Linked DNA regions of Neodiprion lecontei. The protein of the gene in region 2 purifies or fractionates together with the protein of the main gene of each other region. This does not show direct contact. Links are inferred from orthologs where the notes say so. Each region holds a gene or a part of one and is shown on either strand. Other genes may lie near its edges.

Region 1 (5,933 bases), on a different chromosome or scaffold from region 2:
GAAGCGTTGATACGTTTGTCGAAAGATGCGATATCATGTTTAATACTTCGGCTGATTCATTAATTCGGAAAAGAATTAAAGCGCACGGATGTTCGGAAAAATTAAGTCGTGCCTTCTCGGGCTCTTCACGACTCGTGACATGTGTATAATACTGACTGCAGGTTCATTCGTGGGCTTACTATTAGTGTCTGTAACATTTATTCGTGAAACATAAACACGGCGGTAAGCTGAGTTGACCGTGGGTTGAGTCATGTAAATACGAATCTTCTACATCACTTCAAAGGTATTCCGTAATCAATAAAGTTTTACCGCTCAGTAATTGGTCATAATTTAGCTATTGAAGCAATAATATAAACTTCAACTTGACGTTCGTAAATCTGGCAACGTCGCAGCATGCGTCGGTAAACAGTAGATATCATCTGTAAATATGACGGACGGCTTACCACGTGGAAATTGATGTTCGGATTTTCCCCTATTGATCTTAGATGACTAATTTTCGATTTTCAAAATTCAGTGAAAGTTTTATGAGTTTCCTTAAAGTAATAAACATTTTAGTTTTTATGTATTTCTCGTAGAGATTTAATACTTGTATAATTTATTGGTGTAAGCTAAGGCTTTGAAGCTTGGTAGTTAAAAATTCTGGTAGGTGAATAACTTCCATGTAAACTATAAAAAATTTGAGGTAGGCAAGTCTTCTGCATAGTATACAAAGTGATTCTCATCCCCCCATCAAAGTTGCAACATTGTTTTTACCATTGCAAAAACGTAACGCTATTTCTTTTATGATTTTCTTTTTTTTAAATGTAATTAATTTTTATTTTTAGAGTAAAAATTGTAACTTACAGATAGCACGACTTATATCAAATCAAATTAAAGGCAGTAATGATGTATTTAAGTAATAAACGCAATATGTATTCTGAAATAAAGCAATATAATAATGAATAGAAAAAAAAGTTAAAAATTATTATTCATGTTGCAAAATACGTATATGGCCATGTGCATATTGTGTCAATAATCGTGTAGATTCGATACAGCCAATGAAACGATATGGTGTAAGCATGATTTATGAGATCTCAAGTACTAAGCTATCTTTTGTAGCCAGATATCCAATTGTTCAATGTCAGCAGAAGTCTCAGAATCTTTATCGAATGCACTGGCTTCAGCAAAATCAACTTTCGAGCCTAGATGAATAAACTCAAAATCTTTACCTTGTTTGCCAAGATAAAAATTTGACGAAGAGGCATCCGTAGTCTCTAACTGATTAGTTTTTGTTACCCTAAGCAAATTAATTTCTTTTTCAAGTAAAGATTTAATCACACTGCATCCCTTGGCTGTTGTTTGATCTTGCTTATTGCACAAAATTAACACGGGGGTTCCATTTTTTTGAATCGTAGGATCAGACAGGAGCGTATATAAATATCTGTAACAGATAAGAAATTTAAACTGTACAGGAATGGCGAAGTTTTATCACAGTTGATTAATGCTGAAGAGGAGTCTATTCATAATCGTGAGAAATTAATTGGAAATGATGGTATGCCGTATTGTTCCGAATATAAGCGGAGGTTTTTTGTCGTTGACAGCACCTGCCCAAAATTGACCTTGTTTTATATGCGGAGTTGTCTGATGTGCGGGTAACTAAAAAACTACCTTGAAATACTGTCTCAGAATTGAGGGCCGTCTTGTACTCGGAACAATACGGTAATTCACTATGTACTTACTCGGCAACATCTCTGACGTCTTTTTGTATGGTCACTGAATCAATGACATAGACTAATCCTCTTATTGAAGACTTGTAATTGTCAAAAAACTTTTGCCTCAGTCGCTCGTGACCAGGAATGTCAACAATTCGCAAAGCGCTCTGAAAAAAAAAAGAAGAGAAGAGTAGATTTATTCTGTCTAGTATTTTATGTTTTACAGCATAGCACATTAGTCTAAAAATCTGGAAAAAATTGCAATCATGAAATAAGTCTAGTTTCAAATTTACGTTATTGATGGTAACGTCCCCGATATTTTCTTTAACAGAGGTGTGTGTCGCGACATATTTGGAATGAAGGAGCCGAGCGTACAGCAATGTTTTTCCAGCGTTACTAAGCCCTGCCAAGATCAGGCTTCGGCCAACGGATCTTCTCCTACGCCATACAGCAAATACAACTAAAATAATAAAATGATGCCACATATTTTTAAAAGTATGTAGATCATTAGTTAGGTTGAATAAAACAATGTAACTATATATATTTTTACATGATTATTGCTCAAGTCGATGTCGTTGTTATAAAACTGTGGATTTGTAAACAAGAAATTTTGTTACAAATTGTGTACAGTTAATTTCTTTTTTGACTCTACGGAAGAAATCGATATTTCAATTTCCAATAATGTATCTATTTTGTTATTATGTACACAATCACGAAGCTAGAGTTGTTTTCTTTTTATTCACTATTTTAATACTATTTTATAACTATTGTAAATTCTATGATATTGTTTTAATATGAGATCTATGCTTTTAATGGCACGATATTAATTTAGCTTGATACAACCTGCATTGTTGGAAGAAATGCCAATATATCATCTTACCATATGCCACGTACATACATTATGCATAAAATTGTTGTTACTCTTATCTCTCTGAGATTAATTGTCTATATATAGATCGAATCGTATTATATAAATTCGTGCAGCAACGAGATTTTTCAATATTAGTAACAAAATGCGCATGTTTACATGTTCAAATGTTATGTACTTGTGTAAATTGAATGCGGTGCATTAGCGGGAACGGTGCACACCGAAACACAATAATTTGTCGAAAATCATAACCTAAGACTAATCTATTTCATGTAATATTATACCTAGCGTGATAAATATGGTAAACACAGCAACGAGCATTCCAATAAATTGTGTGTTTTCATTGTTCTCGAGTGTCAGCGTCTCTCCACGTTTGTTCCCCATCCTGGACCGTGTTTAATTGCGATATTTTCACTACTGAACTAAACGTGGGTGCATATGGTGTAAATGTCACCTCGAGTCTCGCTTTGCGTGTGGCAGAATGTGCAACTACGTGATTTAACCTGACCCAACATTATCCAACAAAATACTCTGCGTCTGTTGGTACTGCAGAGCGTAGAAGGTGAAACAGATCCTTACCTTACCGATAATTCTGTGTTACCAAGAGACTAACTGTAATCCCCGGTTGATTCGTCTTGATGTACAGATAGAGCTTGCTTCTGATCCAAATTTCCCAACTCTGGGACTCTACTTAATTCAAATGTGCATATTGAAAGCCTGAACAAGAAATTTATTTATTTAATACTTTAATGCAGAATTTTACCTTTTCTTACACATACGTATTAATTTAATAGATTGAATCGAACAGTAAATCCATTTTCTAATGGTATTGAAATATTATGCAAGTTCATTCTGGGTACGAAAATGTTACAAATGTGACAGTTTGAATTTCGTTACAAATAATACTCTTGAAATCGTGTGCGTTCAAGCGTTATACCGAATGGTACTGCTACCTTTCGAAATCCGTTTCGTGTTATAATAACATACCATTTAACTGATATTTTCGAATGACACTTGAAATAACAAGCCTGCCAAGATGGGTCTTCGAATATTCGAATGTTTGATCGTATACTTTAATAATTAGCTGAATCGTCTTCCGTTCCATGTAAATTTTTATGAGTCTGAAATTGAGTTGCGTTGCTGTTTCTACAATATGTTTGTATTACAACTGTAAGATGTACCAAAACAGTGATCAATTTGAAATATTTTATTTCATATGCATTACCGTTACGGCGCGGTACTGTTTGTGGTATTGCAAATAATTAAATTTTACTTTTATTTCATCTTTTTATAAGATTACAGTTAGGAACTGCTGTCTTATTGTTCTTTAAACAATTCTTAAAAAAGAAACAAATACAATGAAAATCGGGTACTCGTCAGCAATGAACAGGCTGTTTATTCCTGTATGTGACTGCCTATGTATATATATATATATATATATAAGAAATATATATACATATATATAAATGTATGTATTCAAATAATATTTTAGAGAAGACAAGAATTTTCTTTTTCGTACATCATTAGAGGGACCTTAGTGAATGAATATTGAAAGGGAGTTTCTGTGTGAATATTATTTACCCCAATAATTTGCCTCATTCAGTCTCTGTTGGGAAATGTACATAAGCGTGGATTCGTGTCTGTTGGACAGCAGCTCCGTCGTCGCATATCCGTTATACGTATGTTACAGGCATATTCTATCCAGGGCACTCACGTATCGCAGGCCATTCTTCATGGTTCCGTTGCTCTTTTGAAAACCAGACCTCTGTCTAAAAAATATTGGAAAGCAAAATAAACAATCACCAAGCCTGCTCGCCGCTTTGCTGCGCCGTATATAGGGGTAGGAGACAACAAACACACGGTCTTGCTGCTGCTGCTGCTGCCATGCCGCCGCCGTCGCCGCCACAACGCTCGCACGTTTTTGGGGATGGACCACCCGTAAATTCACGTGTGGAGTGTTATAATGTGTGTACTACACTCGAGGGAGGCAGGTCGCACCTGCTGTCGCTGAGTGATTCTAAACACATGTCCCACTTGGGGATGTCTGGCCAAATATTGGATGAAAGGATCCTTTACTGAGGGAAAGTCGATGAATAGAGGGGAAGTTGGTCGACTCCTATGTGTATGGTTTCGGGTAATGAAGGGTATCCAGTACGGGTAGGCGGCGTATAATTATTCCACAACTTAGAAGATCACAATTCCGTCAAGTCCCACAACTATGAGAGAAAATTATTCCCGTATAAAATAGTTTTAACGAAGTCAACATGAGTTGAACTTGACAAACGAGTGATAACAGACATTTTCGGTCCCGTGTGTCTAACGATCGATGAAAAGAAAAATGAATTTCTAGTTTCATGCTATCGAAGAAAGGGATATCCGCATTATCTTTGCTTGGCGAGCAGCTCAAAGTTACGGATTCGAACATACGTATCACAATCTTTTCAGACATAAGCGCGAGAAGAAAATTGCTAGAGAGTACAAATTTTGCCGAGCTATCTCAGCATCCGACGGAGTCGCGTGACTCTCGAATTTATTGCACTGCAAAATATCGGCGCCGTAGTATGAACTCGCGAAATGCTCTCTCCGCTTGCAAACAGCGGTGGGTGAACGTCTTTTTCGAAGAGACTGCGGGACACTCGATTCTGTGGAATATGGTTGAAGCTGCGGACATACAGTCCTCCAGAGGCGGTAGCAGTTATTTGGAGATCTGGATTCTGATCTCGCAGGATCCCGTGGGAATAAGCGAGCCGATCGAGATGCAGCAGCTCTCGCGCCAAACTTACTTGCAGATGTAAAGTTGCATAATGCGACAAATTCTCGTTGCGATTATATTCTGTAAAAAGATTCTTTTTTTTTTTTTTTCGTCAATTCTGCGCACCCTGAGAAACCGCCGATCCGATATCACCAGGGATACTCGCATGCATGCGGTCCGAATCTTATTCGTCGCACGATTTTTTGCCAGCAGACTGCAATTGCAGTCGCGAGATCGGACTCAGCGGGATGTCCATATCGATCAGAAATGCATTGACAGGATATTATTGCTTATTAATGAGTTTCTGCCCATGCTCTTTTATGGCATAACGGGGAACAGACAGACCACGCTGCACTTGGCAAACAAATTGAACGTTTAAATCATCGAAATGCACTTTTGCCATTACGGGATATTTATTTCATTCGAGCAATTATTTATAAGCGTCGCTATAAATATATAAGTATCAAAGCTGCAGCTTATAAATTGAGACTGAAACGAGGACTCGAATATCATACGCGATGTGCATATCGAAACGGATAGAGAAATCCGCAATAATGCGTCCGTAATAATTTATGATTAATAATTATCGTCGTAGGTACATAACGTGTATAATATATATAAC
Region 2 (6,032 bases):
CGAACTCTAACGAAACAGTGAAGCCAGTGACGCGGGCGGAACCAACCACAGAAGCTAAAATTGCAGGACAAGCTGCCCTGGCGAGGCTCGAGTCGAAGAGGCCAGACCCGACAAAGTTCAACACGTAAGTTCGGCCAGGGATTTCGATTTCGTTCCTAGTATACCTACATGATCATTAATCACGATGGATGAACAGTTTACCAAAATTTTGCTCACTTGTTGCTTATTCGCAGATCGTACGCGGCTATCCAGGCACAAGTCAAACGAGAACTGGAGGCGGAGAGAAAAGCGGCGAGTAATGAGGCAAAGGAAATCGCGCTGCCAAAGGAGCAGAAAATCCCACAGGAGGTCGAGGCAAACCCGCTGCTCGCTGTACGCGGGGTTTATTTTCGCTGTCCGATTATTTCTGACGAAATATTAACCAGGGACGAGTGGAAGAGCAAGATTCGACAGTTCCTTTACGAGCAGCTCAATTACGAGGAGCCCGGACTCACCGCCTGCCTCATCATTCATAGTTGTAATGCCGGGAAAGAAAAGGTTGAACAGTGTGTCGAAACCATGTGCAAGTACCTTGAAAATATCATCAATAATCCGGGGGAGGAGAAATACTGGAAAATACGAATGTCCAATCGGGTATTTCAGGTGTGTAGAAGGGTTGGAATAACAATGTAAGATACCCGAATCGAATGATTTCTTCGTGAATTTAAGCGATACCTGTTCAATGTGTAGGACAAAGTGAAGCCCGTCGAGGGTGCCTTGCAGCTGTTTAAAGCCGCTGGGTTTGAGATGGTCAAACTAGCGCATCAGGAACAGGAAGAGGACTTCCTGGTTTGGAATCCGGAAAAATCTTCGATCGAGCAAGTCGGTATACTGGTTGATGCTCTGAGGACGGCAGAGCCCGTTCGAATTGAGTTGGACAGAAACTTACAAGTCTTACTGCCCAGTCAGGCAGCGAAAAGAAACGAATTACCTCCAATTTTCTTCACCATATCGCCGGAGGAGATTAAGAAGGAGCATCAGCTCAGGTGCGCCACTATTTTTCTTATTTTGGCTTGAAAATATAGCAGTTGACACGTATTGGCAAAAATTTATTTCATAGCACAGGTCTGAAGCGGTAGCAAAGAGTCAAATTCTCCGTACGAAGGCGATGCGGGAAAAAGAGGAATTGCGAGAAATGAAGAAATACCGTTACGCCTTGATACGGGTGCGTTTCCCGGACGGGGTAATGCTTCAAGGCACCTTCGCGGTTTACGAAAGGGTCGAGAACGTCGTAGAATTTGTCAGAGAGAATTTGATCAGTGACGAGATACCGTTCGTTTTAACAACGCCGACGGGTCATCGTCTCGGGAATGAAGACTATGAAAAGACCTTGGTTGACAACAGACTGGTCCCCGCATCAATACTGAATTTCAGCTGGGATACGGAGATTTTAGATACCAAGGGACCCACCGAATATCTCAAAGAAGAAATTATCTGCCTGATACAGTCCACGTAAGCCTCCTCACCCTAGTCGAGCTATGATTTTATCGTCATCACCTTCCACTCGACAATGGTAAGCACGGACACTCTAGTTTCACACGAAGCGAAGTTTGGAGTCTTTGTTATTGTTCAAGCTATAGAAAAATCAAATTCTAACACATTGGTAGAAAACGATGCAACAAATTAACAAAATTTTCGATTTTGAATGAGTTAATGGGTGACCATTGTGCTCACGGTGCTGATTGATTGTAGACATCGTCGCGTTCCGCCGTCTCACACACGGTTTGGTTCTGTTTTTGATATTCTACAAGACGATGAAACTGAAATCAATACGCAAGGGAAAAAAGAAACTTGAAACTGAATAGATCAATTAAAGACGGAGACAATATTCTCTGCTGTCTGACGTCGAATTATGACATGCTTACGTCTTATTATACCTTTTAATAGAAATGTCCCCCCTAATAATGCGAATAACGGGATGTTTTGCTGAATGATTGCCAGGGGTAAATGCAACACTATGGACATACAGGTATTGTACACTATTGATAGCAAAATATTCTCTTTGTAATTGAATCCATACTTGTTAAAAAAGGAAAAAAAAAAAAGACGATTGGAATAAATATCACGTTTTATTTTCATTTCTGTACTATGTGCTCATCATTTTTTCTTGTACACTTTGTCTCCTACCCAGTTCGGTCAATCGTGTAGAACCAGAGAATTTAGACAGGCTAAAATTTCTTGAGCGTCATTCAAAAGAGTGGTAATTCAATTAGACTACAGTTTAATGTAAGCTGGGATCAAAAATATGAAACATCAAGGAATACTCTTGTTACAAATGGTCTAGATTTATACACCGCTTTTCTTCAACCCATCATTAGACTGCCCACGATATCAACTCGTAAGAACGGCGTAGAAAAGAATTTTATTCAACTTTTTCCACTGATGGGTCTGCATGAATACGAAGTGGGCCAATGTCAAATTCTATTCCACATGTTCGATACTATATCGAGGCACCTTGAAATCATAATCAGCGCGTAAGTCCGCCTTGTCACAGGCAACCACCTCAGACTCAAGGAATAGGTAGCGTCCTCGGTGGGAATTAACGAAACTGTTTCGTCGCAGACCACAGCAGGCTGGTCAGCCACCGGTATTAGTGATAAATTTCAATTGGTGGATGAGAAGAACCCATGAATCGACAACCGTAATCACGATTAGCCAACGGCAAAGTCCGCTTCGATAGAAGTACGTCGCGTCGACGACTTGTCAGAGAGAAAGTAAAATTCTAAAAAGAAGCACCAAAACCACGGGGACTTTTTATCGTGCGATGAAAGGCGGTTGGCAAGGCTGCTGAGAACCGTCTGCGTCGTGTGTCAAAACATATGACGATAAGGCGAGGATTTTGACGAACCTAGAAATTTGTAACAAAAATTTGTACAAACGTCGGCATAGCGGGTAATAAAAACCGACGACATCGAAGGGTCGAAACAGCGAGTTCGTCGAGGGTGCGGCGGACCTCGTCGAGCGAAAATACCTGGCTGGCATAGGGCTGAAAGGTGCGCGGAGGTACGTAGCCTGACTTGACTCAGTTTTCTCGTGTATGTGACGTGTGTGGAGGTAGGTAGATAGGTAGGTGGACAGGTAGATTCATAGGCATCACTTCTCGTCGCACGCTTATCGGAACACACCATTATTGCACGTAAATATTTGTATTTGTAATTTTCCCCCGTTCTTGTCTCACAACCGAGAACTTGTTCGCGCACTTCCTCCGTCTTGGCAAACGACTCGAATTGTCTTCGTTGTACGAAAAGCTGGGAAGACTCGCCGCATGCTGCAGGCAGGTCCGTCCGTGTGACTGGTTCGCTCCGTAGTCCAGGCCGCACGGATCCGTGGTTGACAGTTCGATAGCTGCATGATTAGCGGTATTGAAAATAGCAGAGTCACCCGTGGTCGATGGATGACGATTATTCCGTTGCGATAATTACGTAACTAAGAAACGTACGTTGGTCTTCACTTAGCTATTCAGTGTATCAGCGGCGGCGGGGCTGTCCTATGGTTTTCGTAGGACACCAGCAGCACCAGCTGCACCAGTCTGTTGCTCTTCCGCGTTTCTAAATATTTCATATTACATACCGTTCGTTCGATACTGGAATGCATTGCCGCGGTGTCGTCTAGATGCTTCATCCTCGACTCTATACACCTTCTCGCTCTTTCTCCGCGCTTATTTTTTTTCTCTTCGGTTTCCCATCACGATCAGTCAGTTCTTTTATTGCCTGTTTTCTTTTACAAATACTTTGAAAATTATATCGAAATACGATAACACGTTCTCTCGGGAAAGTGTTAGCACTGCAGTTATGTGTACGCGTGTGCGTGCGTTTTGTATCCGTATTTAATACTGCGCTGTCATTGCCACGTGATCGCCGCGATGTGACGAATGGTTTTTTTATTACATTTTTTAAATATTTGTTTCATTAAAATACCACATTGAAGAATTGAATATTAATCCATTGGCAATCCGAGGAGTTGTGATGTACCTACCGACGATTAACAATGGCCATAATTGTTAAACGATAAGGTGAATATATGATTTACTTTAGGGAAACATTTCTTTCCCAAACATTGTTTCAGGAGCATCTCGCCGGCGGTGTCCGGAGCTACGCTCCCTACCCCGGATCGTCGGAAATGTTATACCGGACGAAAAAGCGTGCGGGAAACAAGTCAACCCGGTCCTATACGATGATTGGTTGTCGGCTTTGAAAATAATTTAAAAAACGCGACAAAAGACGGGGTCCGAGACGACGACGACGACGACACACTGACAATTATTTTACGCAACGAAAGAATAATAAGAATATCGATAATAATAGAGATAAAAGAAACGATAAGATAAGAGGGTAATAATTACCGAATCGTTTAATATTGCAAAATGTCAGAAATCGACGCAGCACCGCCACCGGAAGTACCGGACAACCCTGAGAGCCGGGTAACTGTTACTCCTTCGACATCATCATCGTCATCATCACCCTCGTCGATAGCTTCGACGGCACCGACACCACCGCCCCTGCCACCTGTTCCACCAGTTAATACCGTCAACGGCATAGTCGGGGCGGATAATAATCACGGACTTGCAGCGGCCATTGGGCCCTTGAATAATAACAATATGAACAGGGCGAGGAACAACAATAATCAAAATCCACTATTCAATGTTCGGGACAGGCTATTTCATGCCCTCTTCATCAAGGCCGCCCTTGCCTACGCCAGAGCCTTCCCCAGACCTATTCGACGATTTATTGAATTTATCGTATTGCTCAAGGTAACTCTCATTATATTAGTACGACATTAACCATTCTATTTCTTTATATAATTTACATGTTTCGAAATTTTTCTTCAACTTCCGAAACTTGCCTTCCGTCTTGTAATGTGGAAATATCTCCATGCCAGTTTCTGAGACATTGTTATTATTATTATTATTTTTAGAGAATATTCCGTAGAAGATGTCCGAATTTGCGTGTACTAAAATGAAAAAACCCACAGCCAAGAGTTTGAACGCACATTTTAATGTTTGCATTCTTCCACTCCGTCGATTTACACATATCTACCAAGAGCAGGTGCAGAGCGCGGTTATACTTATTGGATTGATCTATACGCAGCAGTGATGGCGGTCAAGGGTTTATTCAAAGATGTCTATAAGGGCATCGTTCAAGTAGAATTTCTTAGAACAGAGAAAGTATTTACGAGTAATTCAAAGCACGCGTTAGTTCAGCAAAGGGTCGCGAGATCTCGGAGAAATTGGGCAAATAGCGGCGAACATAACGGAAATTAGAACCAGTACTCGCCGGATTTCTGCTTTGGATAATGTCGTGTGACGGAATTCTAGACGTGCGCAGTTTTTTTTAAATTACTTCATATCGGGTTAGCGGGGAAGAATGCGAATGCAGTTGTTCAAGCAGTAGCGGAGTTGTAATTATAAAACGTTGTAAAGTGGTAACTGCAAATTTACGAAACCTTATTTAAAGTTTGTATTACTTCCCGCGATCTTCAAAAAGATATCGCGAAGATATTTCGAATTCAGTCGAATGCTTCCCCGAATACTTGCTGTTATCAAACGGAGTCCTCCGTTGTTAGATACTTGTTACATCCCGGCGCTATCCCCCGTGCTTGCCTCCGAATGAATTGCAGTTTAAAATTGTTAATTTGTATCGTTTCAGGCAATAACGTCATTTTTCGTGCTGGCATACATCCACATAGTGTTTTCCCGAGCACCAACCAACTGTTTGGAACACATAAGAGACGACTGGCCTCGAGATGGTATTCTGAGAGTTGAGATCCTCAGAAATGGCGCTGAAGATTATACCATAGAAAAGAGTTACGCCAAGGAGGAGAAGTTGAGGCAGGAAAAAGTCGATGACCTCGCTAGCGTATTAGGAATTTTAGCTAGAGATGGGTAGGTCTTCTCCGATATATTTCGAATATATCTCACTATTTAATTGCACAGCATATATTCAAAGAGAAGTAGCGAAAAAAAAATGCAAAATGAATAATAATCGCACGAAGGT
Region 3 (6,308 bases), on a different chromosome or scaffold from region 2:
AAAGCAGCAATTTTCATTAATATTGTGGAAAAAAAAAATGATTCCATATGTGCCTACTACAAAGATGTGATTTGAAAGAAAGTGGTTTTATCAAATATTTGGCACAAATTTTCAAAATATCATAGCACAAAAGAGCTATATTGTGGTATTTGGTAAGACCATAGGATTGCCTTTATTTTTTTAATCACAAATTTTAGCTGTAGGATTTCAATTTTTCCGTTACATATATACTATTTTTTTCAGAAGATTCTAATGAAGGAAGTCATTACCAAGAACGTGATTCTACATGTCATGTCATCTTAATACAGGTGAGTTTTGCAGTGTATCATGTGCATTTGTTGAGTTTCGACTTCTTAGTATCATGTTGGCTATCCTCTGTTCAAAGCCTAACAACAGATTTTGTTATCATGAATCTTCATGTTTACCAAAATAAATGTCCGCACATGCTGACCACAGCATCTTTAGCTGTATCCAGACATATATTGCACTCGAACATGCGTTCATCCCTTTCTTTTTCCTCCTGCGCTGACCCCGAAGGCTTCGACGGCCCGGGCTGTTCTTTCGCGGTGCTCATCTCAGCTAGCTCCTTTTCGAAAAAGCGAACAACGAATTATATTAGTAAACTGCTTTACAAAGAAATCTAAAAACATACTTTGGCATAAACTCTGCCTTTACTTGTTTCATTGAATAGCATCAACTGTTTTTTTGTGAAGTTAATATATTGAACAACAAAATTAATTCAAATTTTCACCATCACTTAGTAATATGACAGTAATTTTCAAATAAAAGTATTTGCAATTAATAACAAATTCTATTCAAAAGTAAAAGACATCTGGTGAGAAACGAAGAACATAAAATTCGATGATAATATCAAACAATAATATTGTTCAATTTTATTCCGTCAATCGCATGTATATCATGTTACACTGTGCAGTTTGACATGACTGCTGGAGCGGCATATAGGCCAGAATGATATTTATCGTTAAAAATATGGAAACGGTAAGGTTCACGGCATCTAGCACATTGAATTTACAAAGTATAAATAATTGAGTATGCGATGTTCTATCACGATTTCCTGAATTCGGAAAATTCTAAAGCCTGAAATATGATGAGTTTTTCAAAAAATACATTGTTACACCGATATTAACTTTCACCTCATCAACTGCACTGCAAGCTGATTGAAATTGGCGTTCAAAATACAAATTCATCATGAGACTGCAGTTTTAACCGTGTGGGCAACTACGTGACAATGTTGCATCCTGACCATTTTACAACCATTTCATAGCATACAGGTATAGCATTGAGTTTCCGTAGGATTTCACACCATTTGACAGTATTTCATATATTTCACGACCATTTTACAATATTTCACGAATATTTCATGGTAGCTCTTAGCCACACTATAGTATTTCATGGTACTTTATACTGTTTTATCATGATATGCCTTTGACGTCAAATAAATTTTTTTGGTATGATGTCAATTTCAATGCAAACCACAATTATTAATATAAATCTTTTTCGGAAATTGCAAACGAAATGTTGTGGTTATTCAATCAAAAATGTATTATGTTAACTTTTCCAGAATAAATTATAACAAAAGTATTCCAGACTTTTCCATACCTAAGAAGCAATATTTATGTCCCAAAATAATTCCAGGATTTAGGTAGGTAAATTTAAGAGGCAGAAGATACCCTGAGAATTATAATTGCTTTTTTACTGTTCATCACCTCTAATGATATAAGAGAAATATTGGTTTTGATCGAGAACAACCTATCTTAATTTCAATGAATCTATGTTTTCAGACCTCTAGTGTCCAAAAAATACATTTTTTAAGAAATTCCGGTCTTTCTGTTTGTCCTGACAAACGTCCGCGATGATCTTGAAAAGAGATCGATTGAAAAGTTTGAAATTTAAACAATTTCACATTCAAATGATGTGCATTGCAAATGATTTTAACGTATTTACTAAACGCTTTATACAATGACTTGGATTTTAAGTAAGAAATTATTTTTCAAAGAAAATCTTAATAATTCCCAAGCTTTTACCGCTTTTTCTGATATTCCCATGTATTTAACATTTTGAGATATGTACACAAAGCGAGGTGAGTTTTGATCTGTTCAAGGCCACCAATGTTGTCTGCCACCAACTATTTAACATAAATAGCAGACGACACTGGCAGCCTTGAATTGGTCAGAATCCACCTCGATTTGTGTGCATCATGTACTTCGTTGAAGAACTTTGAAATTTTATAGTCTATCTTTCCAAATATTTGATAAATAATTTATTTACCATCTTGGGTAGAACTGATGATAAATAATAATTTGCAAATATGTGTATAAAAAACAATGTTGACAATATACTTATTGCAAATGTCAAATGACCTGTAAGAAAAATATCGGTATTATCATAAATTTATCGACTATAACTATCAATTTTGATCAGTTGTACATACAATGAGATTATTTTTAAACTTGGTATAAGTTGGTAATGTCATTGTGATAAAAAGAGCTTGCAGTTACATGCATGCACTTTCAGAATAAACTTGTACTATCAAAACTAAATTCAAGGCAGCAATCGTAATAATTTGTGCAACTAGACTGCTATTCTTTTTAATTTTGGTTTGCCTTGATAAAAAAGCCTTACTTTATTACTATGACTATGTTTCTTATTCAATCTGATATTCTTTACTAAAATAGATAAGGATCAGCAGTTATTCAATCTACAACGGTGCTCTAAATTATCTCTTGATTTGGTAAATATTATAGGTGACGAATGGATGTTACATATTTATGCATCAAAATAATGATTAGAAAAGTGGTTTCAAAGGTGGGAATGTTACACCACTGCAATGATTACTGAGTGAGTGTAGAGTTAATTATATTTACAGTATAATAGCTAAAATGAAAGAGAAGAGACTCTACATATGACAGATATTACAATGAATTCGCAACGTTGGGATTAGGAAAACGTCGAAATCTGATAAGATTTACTGAAAACGAGTAGGTGATGATCTTGAAAATAAGACTGACAGAATTTAATTAAATCTATAAATTACCCATATGAAAAGCGACGAAAAATTATCTATCAGCAGAGGTTATGTTTTAGCGAATTAGATTTAGTAAATAATAAATGATTCGAAGAGTTAAAAATTACGACAAGTAGTAACCTTACGGACTGTGAATGGAAATCCAACTGTTTGAAAACACTGATATTGACACCGCAGACACTTCAAAGTTCTTGGCAGACTGCCTGATACGAACTCTTGAATTGCGCAAGTTCTGTAATCTGGCAGATAATTTTCGTTATTTAATGAGAAACGGATGTTCGGAATAACACGTAAACGATGTGCTTGATCGTCAAATCCTGTAAACACTGGTTAGACCGGTCCTAATTTATTCGGTAATGGTGATGACACATAATTGCATGTTGAATATTAACACGTACGCATTTTGACATTTCGAAAAGTGAATTTCACTGTAAGTGATCGATCCAATTAGCAGTAGGTTTTTTGACTAGCACAGTAAAGTACCGAGCATGGAGTAGAAGGAGAAGAAACTAGAATGAAAGTTGATCCCTAGTATAGGTGGCATCGCGGTCTTGTATCAGGTCTAAAAACAAAACCTCATTTCAATGTCGCCGTGTGACTCCGTTACGAGCGAAGCGATCTAATCTAGGGACCTTGTTACGAGCATCTCTATTCTCCTCGTTCGCCCCCAGATGCCTCGCTGCGGTCTAGTAGTATCTCCATTCTCCGACTCTAGTGTCTTCCTAGTTGTTTTATGATGACAAAATAACCACCAGAATTGATGAGCAATCAGAGCATTCTTGCTGCGGTTGCATTCAGCTGTTTGCTGCACGTGAAAAATCAGCCTTAAGGCCGAAGCACACAAAACCAGAAGCCATAAGCAGAATGCAGAAAGTTATTGCGCATGCGCTATGGGTTCTGTAAAAGCCAATTGTGAAATTCAGATTCGATTCATACTGCGCGTAATAAAAGCTCAAGGCCAGAGGTGTAATGTGGCAAAGCATTAACATGCGCTTCTTTGTCGTTGTCGAGAAAATCCACACTGAAATATTCCATCACGTTCAAATACTTTACTACGATAATCATAATTCAATGGTCGCGAGGCGCAGTGGTAAGCTCTCTGGCCCGTCATCCGGTGGTCGCGGGATCGTATCTCGCTATTCGCAACTTTTTTTTTTTTTTTCATTTAATTTTCTTTGTAATCCAATTGTGTGTATATACATAATCCCCGGCAATCAGTTTCAATAATTATGCATATAATAATTTTTTTAAATGCCGTTTGTCGCGGAAAAACCGACGACTTCGAACATCATTATGTTGTTCCCAAACAAAGTTATATTTCAAAAATGTTATCAATTGTTTTCATAATGTTTACCAAGTATAGTTAACGGAAGAAGTATGAACGATGTTCCAAAACGAATACGTGTAGTGGGAATCAAACGCTTAAAACATAACAGTGACTCCTCGAACAAACATTTGCTTCCTGAAATAGAATATAATATGGATTCGTGTTGTTTCATGCAAATAACACTAGAATGTTTGTTCGAGGAGTCACTGTTATGTTTCGAGCGTTAAATCTATTGACTGAGAACCAAAGTGAAAAAAAATCAAACAATTGATCAAAAATCGTATAAAAATTATTCAGTTCGCTATATGATTTTTGATTTATTATATCTGACGATTCGTGCTTTTGTAATTTATTATGAGATTTTTATTTATTTTAACAAATTTACAAAATAAATCATGTATCAAATTACACGTGAATTTCAGTCATTATGTTTTATAATTTAATACTTGACCATTTTCAGTAGGGAAAACGTTTTTTGAATAATCGTTGACTAAAGCTAGTATGTAACGTGCTTCGTTCCAGGAAGGTGTTTCAATTAGTCTGCAAATAGCAATATGCAACAGTTTTAATTTTTCCTTGGCTGATGTCCCTGATAATTTCAATTACTTGCTCGTCGTCTAGTTTTTTTCTGACTCTTGTGCTTGATCCTTTGTGTACTTAGCAATTCATCGGTATTTGAATTTGCACCGCTTTTTTTTTTTATCTCTTTGGCACTGCCGAGTTCGTGAATACCTCTACTTCTGTCCAAGAAAGATTTTATGGCGAATAACTTCTGATATTTGACCGTGCAGCTATCCCTGAAAATATTACAATGAAATGTGGACTGTCCCCCATCCATAATACATACATCAATTAAGGGGGTATTCTAGTCTAAAGGTCTAGTTTTCGGGCATTTTATTGGGCTTGGTGTAAAAAAGAATGAAAATTATTTTAGCACCCATTTTTTTCACGCTCTTTTTATTGGTGATTGAAGAACTTACAGTTGAGTGTTTGTGAAAAAAAAAATTCAAAAAGTTATGGGCCTCTAAATAGAGCCGTGACAAAAAAAATAGATGGGCCGGTTGACACGATTCCATAGTCCTAATTCACATAAAACAGTAAAACCACTTGATCAGTAAGAATTTCGCTATAGCCTGTACCGAAAGGAAAAAAAAACAGAAAATACAAAAATGGCATTTATTTAAAGGTAAAATTAATTTTTTCCCTATTTTTTTTCGTTGTCTTCAATTTTTTGAAGTGATTGCCCGTGGTAGGTACTATAGAGGGATGTATCTGAAGGTTCGTACCAAATTTCAAGTCAATCGGGTGGATAGAACTTGCGATTTCATGTCAACCAGGTCGAAAAATGTAATTTCGAGATAAATGCGTTTAAAGTTTTCGGTTCTTGCTAGTCACAGTTTCTTCATAGACTGATCTTTCTAGCCTCGAACTCTGCTCTATTGAACCGCACCGGCTTCGGGCTAAAATATTCTTAAATGATGTAGCTATAATAAGATGCCTAAAAAATTGATTTTTTCAAATTTCCAGCCTAGAATACCAATTCAAATAAATTTCCCGAGAAATGTACGAATAACGCGCTTACTGAGAAAGCTCCATATATCGTCTTTCACAGTAACGATAATGTCACATTCATCTATACCAAAAAGGTAAGCTTCCAATATAACTATACTCTATCATTCTTTCAGACACTTTCACAAATTAATTTACCGTCAAAATTTCTACATTTATAATAAGATTGTAATTTATACCCGCAGTATATGTATAGCGAAATTGACTACAATTTCATTGAGCTGGTGCAGTTTAACAAGTCGTTAGTGTGACAATTAGATATTTGAGACGCAAATTTGTTCATACGCTTCGCGACAATTATTACTGCACAATATTTATTACTATCATTTTTTTGTTCAGCTGCTACGGAGTTTTTAAAAAAAATTG

The links.
Region 1: the proteins of membralin (region 2) and signal recognition particle receptor subunit beta purify together in Homo sapiens (affinity purification with mass spectrometry; 3 studies listed by BioGRID and IntAct, counting the BioPlex papers as one, with this or other methods). This does not show direct contact. The link is inferred for Neodiprion lecontei from reciprocal best matches to the Homo sapiens genes TMEM259 and SRPRB.
Region 3: the proteins of membralin (region 2) and E3 ubiquitin-protein ligase RNF185 purify together in Homo sapiens (affinity purification with mass spectrometry; 3 studies listed by BioGRID and IntAct, counting the BioPlex papers as one, with this or other methods). This does not show direct contact. The link is inferred for Neodiprion lecontei from reciprocal best matches to the Homo sapiens genes TMEM259 and RNF185.

The regions. Positions count from the first base shown.
Region 1 is NC_060261.1:37,091,955-37,097,887, reverse strand, and holds signal recognition particle receptor subunit beta, read right to left. Parts: upstream 3,041-5,933; 5' UTR 2,944-3,040; coding exon 2,844-2,943; exon of another isoform or gene 2,152-2,843; coding exon 1,985-2,151; intron 1,859-1,984; coding exon 1,719-1,858; intron 1,421-1,718; coding exon 1,081-1,420; 3' UTR 887-1,080; downstream 1-886. UniProt on the Homo sapiens protein: Component of the signal recognition particle (SRP) complex receptor (SR). Ensures, in conjunction with the SRP complex, the correct targeting of the nascent secretory proteins to the endoplasmic reticulum membrane system.
Region 2 is NC_060260.1:40,955,490-40,961,521, reverse strand, and holds the start of membralin, read left to right. Parts: upstream 1-2,640; 5' UTR 2,641-3,175; exon of another isoform or gene 3,176-3,271; intron 3,272-3,356; exon of another isoform or gene 3,357-3,474; intron 3,475-3,759; exon of another isoform or gene 3,760-4,051; intron 4,052-4,104; 5' UTR 4,105-4,402; coding exon 4,403-4,789; intron 4,790-5,684; coding exon 5,685-5,920; intron 5,921-6,032. Other genes in the region: UBX domain-containing protein 6, read left to right, coding at 1-124, 234-642, 730-1,025, 1,105-1,495. UniProt on the Homo sapiens protein: May have a role in the ERAD pathway required for clearance of misfolded proteins in the endoplasmic reticulum (ER). Promotes survival of motor neurons, probably by protecting against ER stress.
Region 3 is NC_060262.1:22,952,176-22,958,483, reverse strand, and holds the start of E3 ubiquitin-protein ligase RNF185, read right to left. Parts: upstream 3,538-6,308; 5' UTR 3,457-3,537; coding exon 3,445-3,456; exon of another isoform or gene 3,056-3,444; intron 587-3,055; coding exon 426-586; intron 1-425. UniProt on the Homo sapiens protein: E3 ubiquitin-protein ligase that regulates selective mitochondrial autophagy by mediating 'Lys-63'-linked polyubiquitination of BNIP1.